Linked DNA regions of Coturnix japonica. The protein of the gene in region 3 purifies or fractionates together with the protein of the main gene of each other region. This does not show direct contact. Links are inferred from orthologs where the notes say so. Each region holds a gene or a part of one and is shown on either strand. Other genes may lie near its edges.

The links. Proteins that work in one complex are often made in the same cells at the same time.
Region 1: the proteins of LATS2 (region 3) and LIMD1 purify together in Homo sapiens (affinity purification with mass spectrometry; 3 studies listed by BioGRID and IntAct, with this or other methods). This does not show direct contact. The link is inferred for Coturnix japonica from reciprocal best matches to the Homo sapiens genes LATS2 and LIMD1.
Region 2: the proteins of LATS2 (region 3) and AMOTL2 purify together in Homo sapiens (affinity purification with western blotting; 3 studies listed by BioGRID). This does not show direct contact. The link is inferred for Coturnix japonica from reciprocal best matches to the Homo sapiens genes LATS2 and AMOTL2.

What each region holds. Positions count from the first base shown.
Region 1 is NC_029517.1:39,419,898-39,424,556, reverse strand, and holds the start of LIMD1 (LIM domain-containing protein 1), read left to right. Parts: upstream 1-1,740; 5' UTR 1,741-1,964; coding exon 1,965-3,069; intron 3,070-4,659. UniProt on the Homo sapiens protein: Adapter or scaffold protein which participates in the assembly of numerous protein complexes and is involved in several cellular processes such as cell fate determination, cytoskeletal organization, repression of gene transcription, cell-cell adhesion, cell differentiation, proliferation and migration.
Region 2 is NC_029524.1:3,377,308-3,381,835, forward strand, and holds the start of AMOTL2 (angiomotin-like protein 2), read left to right. Parts: upstream 1-1,609; 5' UTR 1,610-1,741; intron 1,742-1,854; 5' UTR 1,855-1,906; coding exon 1,907-2,580; intron 2,581-3,733; coding exon 3,734-3,965; intron 3,966-4,528. UniProt on the Homo sapiens protein: Regulates the translocation of phosphorylated SRC to peripheral cell-matrix adhesion sites. Required for proper architecture of actin filaments.
Region 3 is NC_029516.1:159,847,216-159,851,078, reverse strand, and holds part of LATS2 (serine/threonine-protein kinase LATS2), read right to left. Parts: coding exon 2,370-3,863; intron 1-2,369. UniProt on the Homo sapiens protein: Negative regulator of YAP1 in the Hippo signaling pathway that plays a pivotal role in organ size control and tumor suppression by restricting proliferation and promoting apoptosis.

The sequences.
Region 1 (4,659 bases), on a different chromosome or scaffold from region 3:
GGTTTGTTTCCTAAAGCTCTCAGGGGCCTCAGCTTGGTCTGCAGAAAAGAAAAAGGCAGGCGTGAGCTGGGTCTGCACCGTGCTGGGTCAGGAGCCTGACTTCACCTGGTGTGCTGCACATCCTTGGGTGAGCAGGAGGGAAGAGGTGCAAGGGCAACGTATGATTGCCTTCTCCATGACTCTTTGCCTGTGCACACAACAAATTCCTCCCAGGAAAAAAGCAGTGGGGTTTATGCTGCCATCCATCTACTCGCTGTCGTGTTTTCTTATTCTCTCAAAGAAATGCAGATCTGCTGTTCAGTACCAATTCCGTTGCTTTATTGTTTTAACATTTAAAACAAAAGTGGTAACACCTGAAGCTGAGCCTGAGCATCTCTCTTCCTTGCCTGGAGCTCAGTGCAGCCAGCATTTTCCTTCCCGGCACAATCACACACCAAGGCTCAGGCTTTAGTTGCTCTATGGGCTTAACCTCATAGCTCCTTGGTTTTGATGGAGTACTCAAGAGTCAGTTACTTCTGTTGTCAGCCTCTGGTGGCTCTAGATGAAACCTGCTCAGCACAGAATACCTGCTGGGGCTGCCATGCCCTCAGCTCCTTATCCCCTGCCCTGTCTGACACAGCACAGCCTAGCAATCCCCGCTCTCAGAGCTGCCCTTACCTGCTTCTGGTCGTGGCCAACACAGTTCACACTTCAGCTGCTGATTTTTCTGCAAAGGGAACACAAAACAGCCCTGCCTGGGGATGCTTCTTCCCTCAGCCTCCTCAGGGCACAGCAAGGCTCAGAGAGGCCAGATAGAGGGGTTGGTTTGACAGAGGGAATTGTTTTCCCCTTGTGCCTCAGTGCTATCCATCACTTAGAAGCTCGGCAGGCAATGAAGGCCTCCTGAGTGATTTACTGCTGCTCCCCAGCCCCACTCTGTGAATCCAATGCTGTCAGCTTGGGCTGCGGTGGCTGTAACAGGTGACACGTTGCTCCCTGGAGGGGCTGCAGCTCACTGTAAGGAGTGTGCCATGTTGGGAGGGGGGGGGGCAAGCTGTCCCTGTTGCTAAGCAGAGTTCTTGCAAGGGAGCTGTTAGAAAGGGAGGGCATTATTTTCTGGTTTCTAACACAGTTTGGTCACAGCCTGATTCACAACACATTCCTTAACATCTGGGCCCTGTCCCGAGTGCTGGGGAAGCGTTACAAGGCTGAGCACACGCACCCCACCCTGCACCTTTCAGTGTATTTACTGAGGGGCACTGCAGCCCTCAGAGTCCAGAGCAGGGATTTGCTCAGTCTTTGGTTGGCCTGTCAGCCGGGGCAGGTCAGGATGGTGCTATGCTCCAATAAATGAGGGCGGCTCAGCCGGTGAGTGCATTCCTGCAGCTCCTGCTCCAGGAATGCAAACTATTTCCCTGGCAGCTCACAGCTCTGCCTTATCCTTGGCACTCACAACTCTGCTTATCGCTGGTGGTTCAGCCCTGGAGGATAGCAGGGCAGCAGGGTGCCGGCAGCTGGGCAGTGCCAAGCAGAGGAGATGAGGGAGCTCCCATCCTTGGAGAACTCCGTAAGTGCCTGGACGGGGCCCTCAACCACTCCAGTGCAGCCGCCCGCTCCCCACGCGCCACCCCACCCCATCCCGGCCGCACCGACGCCCCCGACCCGGCCTCGCCCCGCTCCCTCCGCCAGCATCAACCCCCGCGGGCCCCCAGGGGCCGCAGTGCAACGCGGCGGGACCGCCCCGCCGGCTCCGCCCCGGCCCCGGCCCCCGCCCCCGGCACGGCGGGCGGGACTGGCAGCGGCGGGAGGCAGCCGGGGCCGCGCCGTGACTCTGCCGCCGCCGAGAGCTCCGGCTTCGCGTCCTCTGCGCTGCGGGAAGAGGGACGGGAAAGAGGGGAGAAAGAAACTTGAGCCGGGCCGACAGCCCGCCCCGCACAGCGCGTCCCCGGCGTGTGGTGGTGGCAGCAGCCGGAGAGCGGGGCAGGATGGACAAGTACGACGACCTGGGCCTGGAGGCCAGCAAGTTCATCGAGGACCTCAACATGTACGAGGCATCCAAGGACGGGCTCTTTCGAGTGGACAGAGCGGCTGGCAACAACCCGGAGTTCGAGGAGACCCGGCGGGTCTTTGCCACCAAGATGGCCAAAATCCACCTCCAGCAGCAGCAGCAGCAGCAGCAGCAGGAGATGCTGATGGCCACCGCTTCCCTCAATGGTGGGGCTGGTTTGGGTGCACCACGGCCCGGCCTGCCCGCACCTCGTGGTGCCAAGCCGCCCCTGGGCTCACCCACCAGCCCGCTGCCCCAGGTGGCAGCTGAGGGCCCTGGCAGCGGGCGAACAGGCACCTGCAGAGCCTTCCCCGTGCCTGGGGAACCACCGTCCCCCAGCTCCCAGGCTGGGCGGCGCAGCTGGGAAGCGGAGCTTCGTGGAGACCCTCAGGAGAACGGTGGTGATAGCAGGAGGAGCAGCCAGGGCCAAGAGCTGAAGCCAGCCGGGCAGAGGTCCTCCTCCTTCTCACAGGTGCGTGGCCCTGCAGGTCCCTCAGATGGGGCGCCAGCAGCTGCTCTGCAGCACAGGTCCTCCTTCTCAGCCTCTGCGGCACAGCCCAGCCCCGGGCATTTGGCCCTCACCGAGCCCTGTGGGCCACAGGCCGGCGTGGATGGGCCAACCACAGATGGCGGCCAGCTGTGGTACCAGGGCGGCTCACGGCCCTTCCCACCCAGCTCTGCTCCTGGGGGGCCCAGCATAGACTACCAGCAAGCTGGCGTCCACCCCAGTCCCACCAGTCATTTTGTGGCCCATGGCCACAACCACCGGCCCAACGGCGGCCCCGAGCTGGGTACCTCACACTTGGCAGCAGCACGTGGGCCGTTGACTTCAGATGCACCAAAGCAGCCTTTCAAGGAGGGCACGAGCAGTCTCCATCCTGACAGCGGGCACCAGGAGGGCTGCGGCGTGGCCAAGGTGAAGTTGCCCTGCCAGACCCTCCAGCAGCCAGAGCAGGGGCCGTCTGCAGCTGAGCTGAAGCTGGAAGCACTCACTCAGCGCCTGGAGCAGGAGATGGATGCGCGGCCCAAGGCTGACTACTTTGGTAAGCACAGTTGTGATAGGACGTGGTGCGTGCCTAGGTGTGAGGTGGCTCCTTGCTGTGTGTGCTGGCAGGTTCATGCCTTCACATTGTGTGTCAGTATTGCTGCTGCTGGGTTATGGCTTTTCAGTTTCTTTCATATAACCATTACTCATCACAGGTAGAGGAAACTCTTGTTTCAATGTTTGTTTCTTCTTAATCTTTAAGTTTCATAGCGCAGATAGTGCAGCAGCCATGAGAGGACAGCGCTGAGCACCAGCCTGGAGCCTTTGGAAGTGTCCACCTTTGCTGGCTGGGAACTTCTTCCCTTCAGAAGGTTCTTCTCTTCACAACGTTCACCATTTTTCACGTGCTCAAAATATGTTACCTGAGCACGTTTGGATGGAAAGGAGCCTGCCAAGGAGCAGGATGGCATCACACCTACGTGCCATGTGGGGCAGGAATGTGGCTGGGCCCACAGGAGGCCATGGGGGTAACCAGGCCTACAGGAGGATGAGTGCTCAGCAGTACTTGCCCTGGAGGCTCCCACACGTGGCTGTGATGCAGTGGTCCTTGGATGTGTGAGCTGCAAGGGAGCTGCTTCTGGAATGGCCCTGAAGGAGCTGACTGCACACTCAGAGAGAAGCGCTTTGGATAGGAGGGTTTCCTGCAGTCAGCAGATTTTCTTTGCCCCAGGTGTCAGTTCTCATTGGCTTTCAAATGATGAGTGGGCTGTAAGTACTTGGGAGGAACAGTTGACTTGTGGACCAAAAGCTCTGGCAGGCCAACAGGTTTGTGTTGGTACTTTGTGATGGAAAGAGACCGCTTACATGTGAGGAGAACAAGAGCATGCTACCAAACTGGTTTAATACCACACATGGCAAAAAGTCATGGCTGAAGCGAGCGTTCCCTTCTGCTGCTGCTCTGTGATTCAGCAGCAGGGTGGGCGCAGCTGAAGGCACGCTGAGTGTTTAGTTGCAGATTGCATAGTAAGTGTGTTTCTTGGCATGGAGCAGTACATTCGCCTGCAGAGGGCTTTGCTGTGATTGTTTATCTCAGGGCATGAGATGGAGTTGAGCTTTGTGGCAGGCAGATAGGTTTCTGTCCCCTGGCAGAAAAGTGATGTGCCCTGCTGTGTTACTGGCTCGCCGCAGCCTGGAGGCACGCTCTGTTGGTCCTTCTCTGCCTGGATCAGGTATTTATCATGAGCAAAGTTTTGACTTCCTTCTTTATTGCTCACAGCAGAGCTGATATGCTGCAGGTACGTTAACAGGACCTCACACATCTCGTTTGGCAGCAGAGCACTGGGTTGCCCCCTCAGCATCCAGCAGCCATCTGCTCAACACAGCCACAAGTTTCTTTCCCTCAGTAGATGCAGAGCTGTAGGTGAGCAGCTCAAGTCCCATTTGGACCCGGAGCCCCAGTGCATACAGGTGGGTGGAACCAGTCACAAGTGCAGCAGCTCCGCTTGGAAGCTGTGTGAGCAGTAGAGCTGGTGTTGTGCATTGTGTTGGGAGCACGCCGCAGCACTCCTCATGGGAGCTCAGCTGGGTCTGTAAAGCAAAAGTCTCCAACAAAAGGAAAGAAAGAAGAAGAAGGAGGTCAGACAGAGAT
Region 2 (4,528 bases), on a different chromosome or scaffold from region 3:
TAGTGCTGTGTTTTGGGGTTAGGGCTGCAAGGAGATGCTTCTCCCCATAGTGAAACCACTTCCGTGTCTTCTGGTCCATTATCCATTTTGTACATCCTTCCACTAAAATTAACACTGGTTCTGCCTGTTCATCTCTAAAAGGAGATACCGACTCATCTGATATCTAATCTCACAGCTAAGAGGATCTGAAGCTCCGGGATGGCTATTGGCAGTCACAAGCATTCCGAGCATCTCGCCTTTGACACAGCACCGCACATCTCCATCTCCATCTCCAGCCCCTGCATCCCTTCCCTGCACAACAGCCAAGTCTGGGCTTTGTGGGCTGCTTTCACCTTTCCACGTGCTTCATCTTCTGATGGGAAGCAGTGGGTCTGTGTGGGTCTGTGGATGGGGAAGGGCTGTGTGAAGAAGCCAGCAGCTGGTCAGGCTCGTCCAGGGGGAGCATGGAAAGGTGGAAGCTTCCCATATCTGCCGTGTTAGAAAGAAAAAGAGGAGCAGAGGGCTTTTCCTCTTCAGATCACTTTCCAAAGTGCTGTTATCAGCCCAGGAGGGGTTTCCTGCTGCCAAAAATAGAGCGGTGTGGAGATAGGAAGGGAAGCGGGATGACGCAGGCATAGATAAGGCTGCTGGATGAGCCGGGGGGGCAGCTGGGACCTCCGGCATGCTGGGTGCCCCCATCCCACTAAGAGACCCCCGGTAGGGTTTGGGATCTCGCCCACACCTGCTCTGTGTCCAGGGCTCGTTTCTCAGCCCCGTTATCAGTCAGTGAGCGGCTGGGTGCTGAACGTCAGCCCGATACCTCCATGGTTGGGGGCCGGCAGGGGAGGCTGGCCGAATTTCAGGTTGTGCAGCGTGCATCTGTGCCTCTGAAGGATGCAGCGGTGTCTGGCCGAGCAGAGAGCGTTACCCACAGCCAGTCCCTTTCCTCCCCCCAGACAAAGCCCCCCAAAGGATGGCAAAAGGAAGAGCCCGTCGGCGCGCTCCGGGCTTTGTTCGGCCTTTGGAAGGTGCCAAATTCCCTCTCTCAAGAATGAGAGCTTAATGTCCCGTATCTAATTAGCAATTTTCCCTGCACCTGCTCCTCGGCCGCCCCTCGGACCATCTGCCGTCTCGGGGCCCCGCGGGCGGACGTGCCCGGCGCTGGGGGTCCCGCGGCTCCTCCGCTGCGGCCGCACGACGGGGAAGCGGCTCCGCAAAGCCGGGCAGCCCCGGGCTCCGTGCCGCGGGTCCCGACCTGCTGCACCCCACAAAGGGAAGGAGCAAAGCACGCGTGTATCCCGCACGAGAGGCGGGGGTCGGGGGGCTGCGCTGGGGAAGGGGAGCGGCGCTGGCAGAGGGCAGAGCAGATGGGGCCGCGGTTTTTTTTTGTAGGGCCGGGAGACAATGGCGCGTCTCTCGGGGCCGGGATCAGGCACGAAGATTTATGCAGGCGGGCAGCTGGCGGGCACAGCCTCGGAGCCCCCCCGGGCGGCAGCTGCTGCCCCAACCCCTCGGCAGCCCCCGGCCCAGCGCCGACACCGACCGGCCCAGCCCCGAATGGCGGTGGGGCGGGCGCTGCTCCCCCTGGCGGCGGAGCGAGGACGGGGAGGAGGAGGAGGTGGCGGCGGGGCGGGGCGGGCCCGGCCCCGCATTCCGGGCATAGCAGCGCCCGAGCCCGGCCCCCGCTACCGGCGGGGCCCGCAGTCGGCAGTGGCCTCGTTCCCCGAGCGGCAGCACGGCCTCGCCGCTCCGCCATGCCCCGGTAAGTACCGCCGCCCTCCCCCCAATCCCCCGTCCCCGAGGAGCCGCACAGCCGTGGGGAGAGCCGCGTTCCTCCGGCCCCAATCCCGCTGACGTCCCCGTGTCCCCCCGCAGGTGCCCGCGTCGCTCGTAGAGCCCCCGGACGGACGGACGGAACGCGGCGGAGATGAGGACGGCGGAGGACTCGAGCGGGACGGTGCTGCAGCGCCTGATCCAGGAGCAGCTGCGCTACGGGAACCTGACGGAGAACCGCACGCTGCTGGCCATCCAGCAACAGGCGCTGCGCGGCGGCACGGCCGGCAGCCCCCGCTCGTCGCTGGAGAGTCTGACCCAGGAGGAGAGCCAGATGGTGCCGCAGTCCGCCCGGCAGGAGCCGCAGGGCCAGGAGCACCACGCCGACCACCTGTACAACGAGCACGGCGGATACCGCCCGGCACAGCCCCAGCACAAGGGCGAGGAGCTCCCCAGCTACGAGGAGGCCAAGGCGCACTCGCAATACTACGCGGGGCAGCGGGCAGGGCAGCAGCACGGCGGCACCCGACGCCCCGACGACGCCCTGAAGGAGCTGAAGCACGGCCACGTGCGGTCGCTGAGCGAACGGCTGATGCAGATGTCGCTGGAAAGGAACGGGGCCAAAGCGCACGGCCCCATCAGCTCGTCCCACAGCTTCCCGCAGCTCTCCCGGCAATACACCCTGCGAGGGCAGCGCCCCGAGGGAACGGAGCCTCGCGGGCCTCCACCGGAGTATCCCTACATCCTCCCCAGCCAGGAGGCGGCCGTCGCTTACCTGTCCCGGCCCTGCTCCCGGGACGGGGCCGGCTTCCAGCACCCCGAAGTCAGGTAACCCACAGCCCTCGCCGCTTCTTGGGTGCTGGTTGGCCCCGGTTTGCCTCGGTTGGTTCAGGATTTCCATCCGGCAGTGAAAACTCCGCTGCTCCGGGAGGGATTCGGGGTTAATGCAGGAGTTGGAGGCAGGTCAGGAAATGGCTAAATTCGGAACAGGCGTGAGCCAGCGTGGAAGGAAAATGTGCTGCTCGGAGTGGAAAAAGCTGCCTGGCCTCCCCGGCTGAGGGTGCCCCCGGCCCCGTGCCTTCCAGCAGAGTGTATGGGAGCGCTGAGCACTGCTCCTTCCTTCCAGCCCATTGACACCTCCAGCAAAACCTGCCTCTGCTTGGAGGTCTGTGGGTGTGGAGATTTGGGCATCTCCTGGTGCTCAGGGAAGGCTGGGAAGTGTGGTGTTCTGGCATGGAATTGCTATAGGCAGGAGCTCCAAGCTGACTTACCAGGGCAGGGAGTGATAGCATTTCTGGCAGGAAACAGCTCTCCTTCCAGGGAACAAAGAGGGGAAGCAGAACTGTGAGGAAGATGCATTTGTTCTTCCTCGCTCCTGGATCACCCCATAGGAATGCAGGCTCCAGCACGGCGGCCACATGGCTCAGGATGGCTGAGGCAGCCATGGGATGTCGAGGAACTCTGGGTGATAGAATGGGGTTGTATTAACAGTGTGGTGGCAAGGCTTGGAGCCAGGAGCCCTCTCCTTGCCCAGGAAACCATGAGGAGAAGTGGTAGTGCTGCAGGTTTCCAACATACATCTTTGCTGAGGGTTTTTCTTGACTGCATCACCCAGCAGCAGGGTGGTACTGAGCCCCCCTGACCCCCCCCCCCCGGCCTAGCAGTCAAGTCCTGATGTTCTCAGGTGCTTAAATCCTGGGTGTGGAGGTGCTCAAGCTGCAGGCAGTGCTGTCAGATGGGGTTTCCTTCGTATTTTGTGTGCCCAAAGCCAACCCTTCCCAGCTGTGCAGGGCAGGTTGAGCACTCATCCTCCTGAGCATGACCCATGGGCACCCAGCACCTCTTTTGTCCAAAGGTGCTTCAGGAGCTCTGCGTATCCACACGGGTTGGTTGACAGAGGAGAACATGTGGGCAGGGTGCTTGTGGTGGCCAGTGTGTCCATCCCCATGAAGTGGCTGAGCACCCCTCTCTTTCCCCCCAGCAGGCTGATGCCAGCACCCGTCCCCGCAGCGTTCCTGCCCTCACCGAGCACGCTGGGCTCTCTCAGCCCTGCTGGTGTGGAGGCCCTGGTGAGTGCACAGGCGGCCTCAGCTGGCAGCCGGCTGGCCCAGGTGGATGCTGTGATGCGGGAGAATGAGAGGCTGCTGCTGGACAATGAGAGGCTGCGACGGGAGCTGGAGAGCTGCACGGAGAAAGCCAGCAGGATCCAGAAGGTGAGCTGGCCTTTGCTTCCTGTCAGCACGCTGAGGATGCAGGACCCCAGCCCTGCTGGTTATTTGGGATGTGGGCAATGGGTGCAGATGCTCAGCCCACCTCTGCTCCCACCCAGCACCTCACCCACCAGCATCCATCCCTTGGGGGGAAGGGAAGGGCTCATTGACCTCCTGCCGTGTCACGGGCAGCAGGTTTAGGCTGAGAGCAGGTACACCTGGAAATGGCCTCATCTGCACAGTGCGGCTTTGTCCCTTGTTTTTGAGCGAGCTCGTGCATTTGCTTCCTTGCCGCCTGGGGCAGGATCAAGCAGCTGCTGTGAAAATTCACCCCCTTTTGTGTTTTAATCTCTGCCCCCTCCCTCCGGTGGCTGCCCCCCACAGCAAGCAGCTGCGCTTTGGTGGCAGCACGGCTCCTTGGCCAAGTGTGGAAGAGAGGGGAAAAAGAGCCCATTCTGAGGCTCCAGTAGCACTCAGGCTGTCTCCACCCGCCCCAGGAGCGTGCCCGGCCACCACAGAAAGCCCTTTGTACAGCTTTGCACAAGGACAGGGCTGTTCCCTGCTGG
Region 3 (3,863 bases):
TACAACTTAAACTGAGATACAACAGCACCCTTGGTTCAGTAATAGCTCTCCAGTGCAACTCACATGAAACCTCCCTACCGAGCAGTTGCTTTTTTTCATAGCAATTAAGAAACTGTTTTTGACAAAGTATCTTGGGAACCCTCTTTCTTCAAAACCATTTTTCCTCCTCTGTTGTACAGAACCTCCACTCTCACACTTGGCAGATCCCTAACTTCCCTCCCAAAATATATGTATACAACCCTCAGCTCTGGCCTCCTCCCATACACTGAAGCCAAGATCCAGATCCTATTTCTCTTTTAAATGTATGTTTTTTCCCTTTGAACCTGAACAGTAACAAAGCTGGCTTGTCCAGACACCTTCTGTCCCCATAGAGTCTTACGGTAATTAAAAGTAACATTTCACATGTCTGAAGGGGAACATCTCCTGGAAAGGGGGAGAATTAACCAGCTGGACTTCCCCCATGCTTCAAGACAGAGCCTGCACAATTCTGCCTTCAGTGCCTGTCTGAGAACACGAGCAGCCTTCACCAGCAGAAGCCCCTGCGCTGATTTCCAGGATCCTCAGAATTCCCTGTCTGCAGCAGACCCCCCTCCTTTTGAATAACATTTATCTTGAACTGAAATAAGTGAAAATAAGCATTTTGAGAGGAAGAGTGAGTGATGGGAAGAGGCAATGGGGGAAATGGTGGATGGAGATGAAGCTGACTGAGAAGCAGGCTAAAGACCCCTTAAGTATTCACCCATAAGGCTGCTGCTTTGACTGAAGTTTTCATTTCACACCTGCAATCGAGGCCATTAAGGATGATAGGTGGGCAGCCAGAATAAGCAGCAAGATCCCCACAGCATAAAAATGAAATCCATGTGAATTAAGGATGAAAAAACTTGCAGAACAGGTAGGGTACCTCAATCCATACTAAAGGAAGCGTTTATTGCTTTAACGCATAACAATTACTGTGTTGTATTCTTGGTTAATTCTAGAATAATGCGATATTCAGATGGCCAAAATCTCTTGAGTTTGTGGTGTGTTATTCCAGCCAGAAATGAGGTTGCTAGGGGAAGGAGCTGTTTTTTGTTTATAGTTATCTTTGAGTTATGAAGTGAGCAAAAGCTGAAGGGCCAAAACAGAACTGATGCTATTAGTTTCTTTTCTTACTTCTTTAGAGACTGCTCCCCAACTTTCTCAGTCTTAGGAAAATATTCACTAAATCCAAGCAGTGCAACACAACCTATAGTTGCACTGAGGACAAACTATGAACTACCACCACTATATTGACCTTTCAAGAGATTTTTAGAAGCATCAAATGTAACCTTGGCAAGCAAACCACCAGATTTTCTTGAGCAGAATCACAGAATCACAGGGGTTGGAAAGGACCCCAGGAGATCACTGAGGCCAACCCCCCTGCTAAAGCAGGCTCCCTACAACAGATGCACAGATATGCACCAGACAGGTCTTGAATATTTCCATAGAGGGAGAGCAATGTGAGAATCAAATTAATTGACCCTAACCAGTTCTAAGGAAGGTCAGGTAAGTTATTACCCATCATGTATTAATGATAGCTTTCATTAAAGCTTATCCTTAAACACAAAAGTAGACTAGTCATATTCTAGCTAATGGCACCTGAAGGGAGAAAAAATACAAAATTTCCATGTTTAAAAATTACAAACAGAACTGCCAGAGCAATCATCAGAACTTGGCAGCTTGCCTTCAGACAGCCCTATCAGTGAGTCAGCTCAGTTTGAGCGCTACTACGAGACGTGAATGAAGCTCTCAAAGTGCACCTCACTGAGACCCGCGCCTAGAACAAATCCCAGCAAGGATCCCAAGATCATTTCAGCTGGCCAAGAGATGATTACTTGCATGGTATTATTACTAACATATGTTCAAGAGACAACTTTCAGTCAGGTATTACATATTCAAGGGAAAATATAGCATAGTAAATCTACTGCCAAGTTAAACTGTGGCTTTGGTGAATAAGCAGCTGCTATCATGTAATAGGCAGGAAGAACTGGAGCAAAGAGAAAGCCTTTCTCAGATTTTTTCAAGGGCTGGAAAGTATTGTCAGTATTACCATGGTCTCAGACCTGGCTGCTGAGTCCTTTCCTATGCAAACGTAATACTTTCCTACTGTGGATGCCCCTGCTTTATTTTACTTTCTTGTATGAGGACATACTACATCCTGTCTCAGCTTTTTCAAACAGTCTCCCAGATCTGCACCCAGGCCTCTAAGTGAAAACAGTCTGGTAAAGGGAGGCGTTGAACAGCTATTATCACTTCCCAGAGAACTCGCCTTTATACCTTTTTTTGAGTGACTTAAGATAGTAATAATTAATTTGACCCTATTTATTATATTAAAAAAAAATAATAATTACTTTAGCCATTTCTTGCTCCAATTGTAATCTTCTGTTGATTTTCTGCTGGTAGGTTTTTATGACATTTTCTACATGTTGCTCCATATAGAACTTGAAAGCAAATGGTGAGTAGCTCTTTATTCGGGATTCTCGCTTTTCCTCATCCTTGCCATTTTTTCTCACAGGCACCGGAGATGTCTGGATCTGCTTTTTATCCTTGCCTGGTTTTTCAGCTTTAGTGTTTTTGCTGTTTTTGTCATTTCTCTCACTGTTCTCCTCAGCCTTATTGCACGTTGAACTGGGGACTACACGCAGGGTCTGCTCCACACCCATGCATAAGCAATTGATATCAAACTGCTCAGAGCTGCCGGGAATTAACAAGTGCTTGGGATACGGTGGTGGTGGACACCGCAGCTCCTGGTTACCATAATCCACATCTAGTTGATAGGCGTTGGCTGCTCCAACAGCTGGCACGTGCTGTTCAATGATCTCTAGGCCATCCACGGCCGGTGCCTGGGCAGGTAACCAACCAGGATGGGAAGGTCCCACTGCAGTCTGAGGCTCAGGTCTCATCACTCGCATGCTCTTCACTGGCTGGAGAATATGAGCAGATGTGACCGCTGTGATTGTATTTGGAGATGCAATGGAAGGATCAGGTTTTCCTGGAGGAACCTGTCTCATAGACACGGTCACTTGCGGTTGTTGCTGATGGTTGTTAAAGGAGTTTGTTCTGCTTGGCACTGAGGCATCAGGTCTGAAGGACACGTGTTGCCGTGGAGATGATTCTATTCCTGGGTTTTGTAAAGAATCTCGCCGTGAAGGCGTTGCTGCCTGCCACTGCTGAACTTGAGGGTTATTCATGTCATAGAGGTCCATGTTTAGGCTATTTCTAGATGGAGTTAATAGATTTTGTGGTGGGCTGTCTGAAAAATCGTTACCAAATGCTGGACCTCTAGATATCACGTGCATTTGATGGGAGGGAGGACTTGTCTGTTTGTGATGAGAATGTGACATATACAGGCTTGCTGGTGCCTGCTGAAATGCATGACTAGCATTATTCTGAACAACTGCCCCTTTATTTGGGAGATTGGCGTAGCCTCCCTCCTGCTGCATCTTGTTTTGGAAGGATGGGCTCCGCTGAACACCATACCCCATGGGTTCCCCCTGCACCATCATGTGCTGCCTACTGTAATGTTGGCTGCTGGAGCCATGGGAGGCCTGCAGCTGCAAGGCTGGGCTGTTGTGATTAGACACAGGATAATTAATCACAGAAGATTCAATACTTGCAGGGTATGTTTTCTGCTGATGGCTTGTTGGTGTGCTGTGAGTGCCTACGCCAGAGGGTCGCTGTACAGGCGCATTCATAGCAGTAGGCTGCGAAGCAGAGATTAAATAGTCCATGTATGGCCGTGGGACTTCAGTCAGCATGTTTGCACCTTCAGCTGCAAAGCCTGTCCCTTCATAGGCTGCATTACTGATCTGATGGTAGGACGGAAAAGATTCGCTCGATCCTTC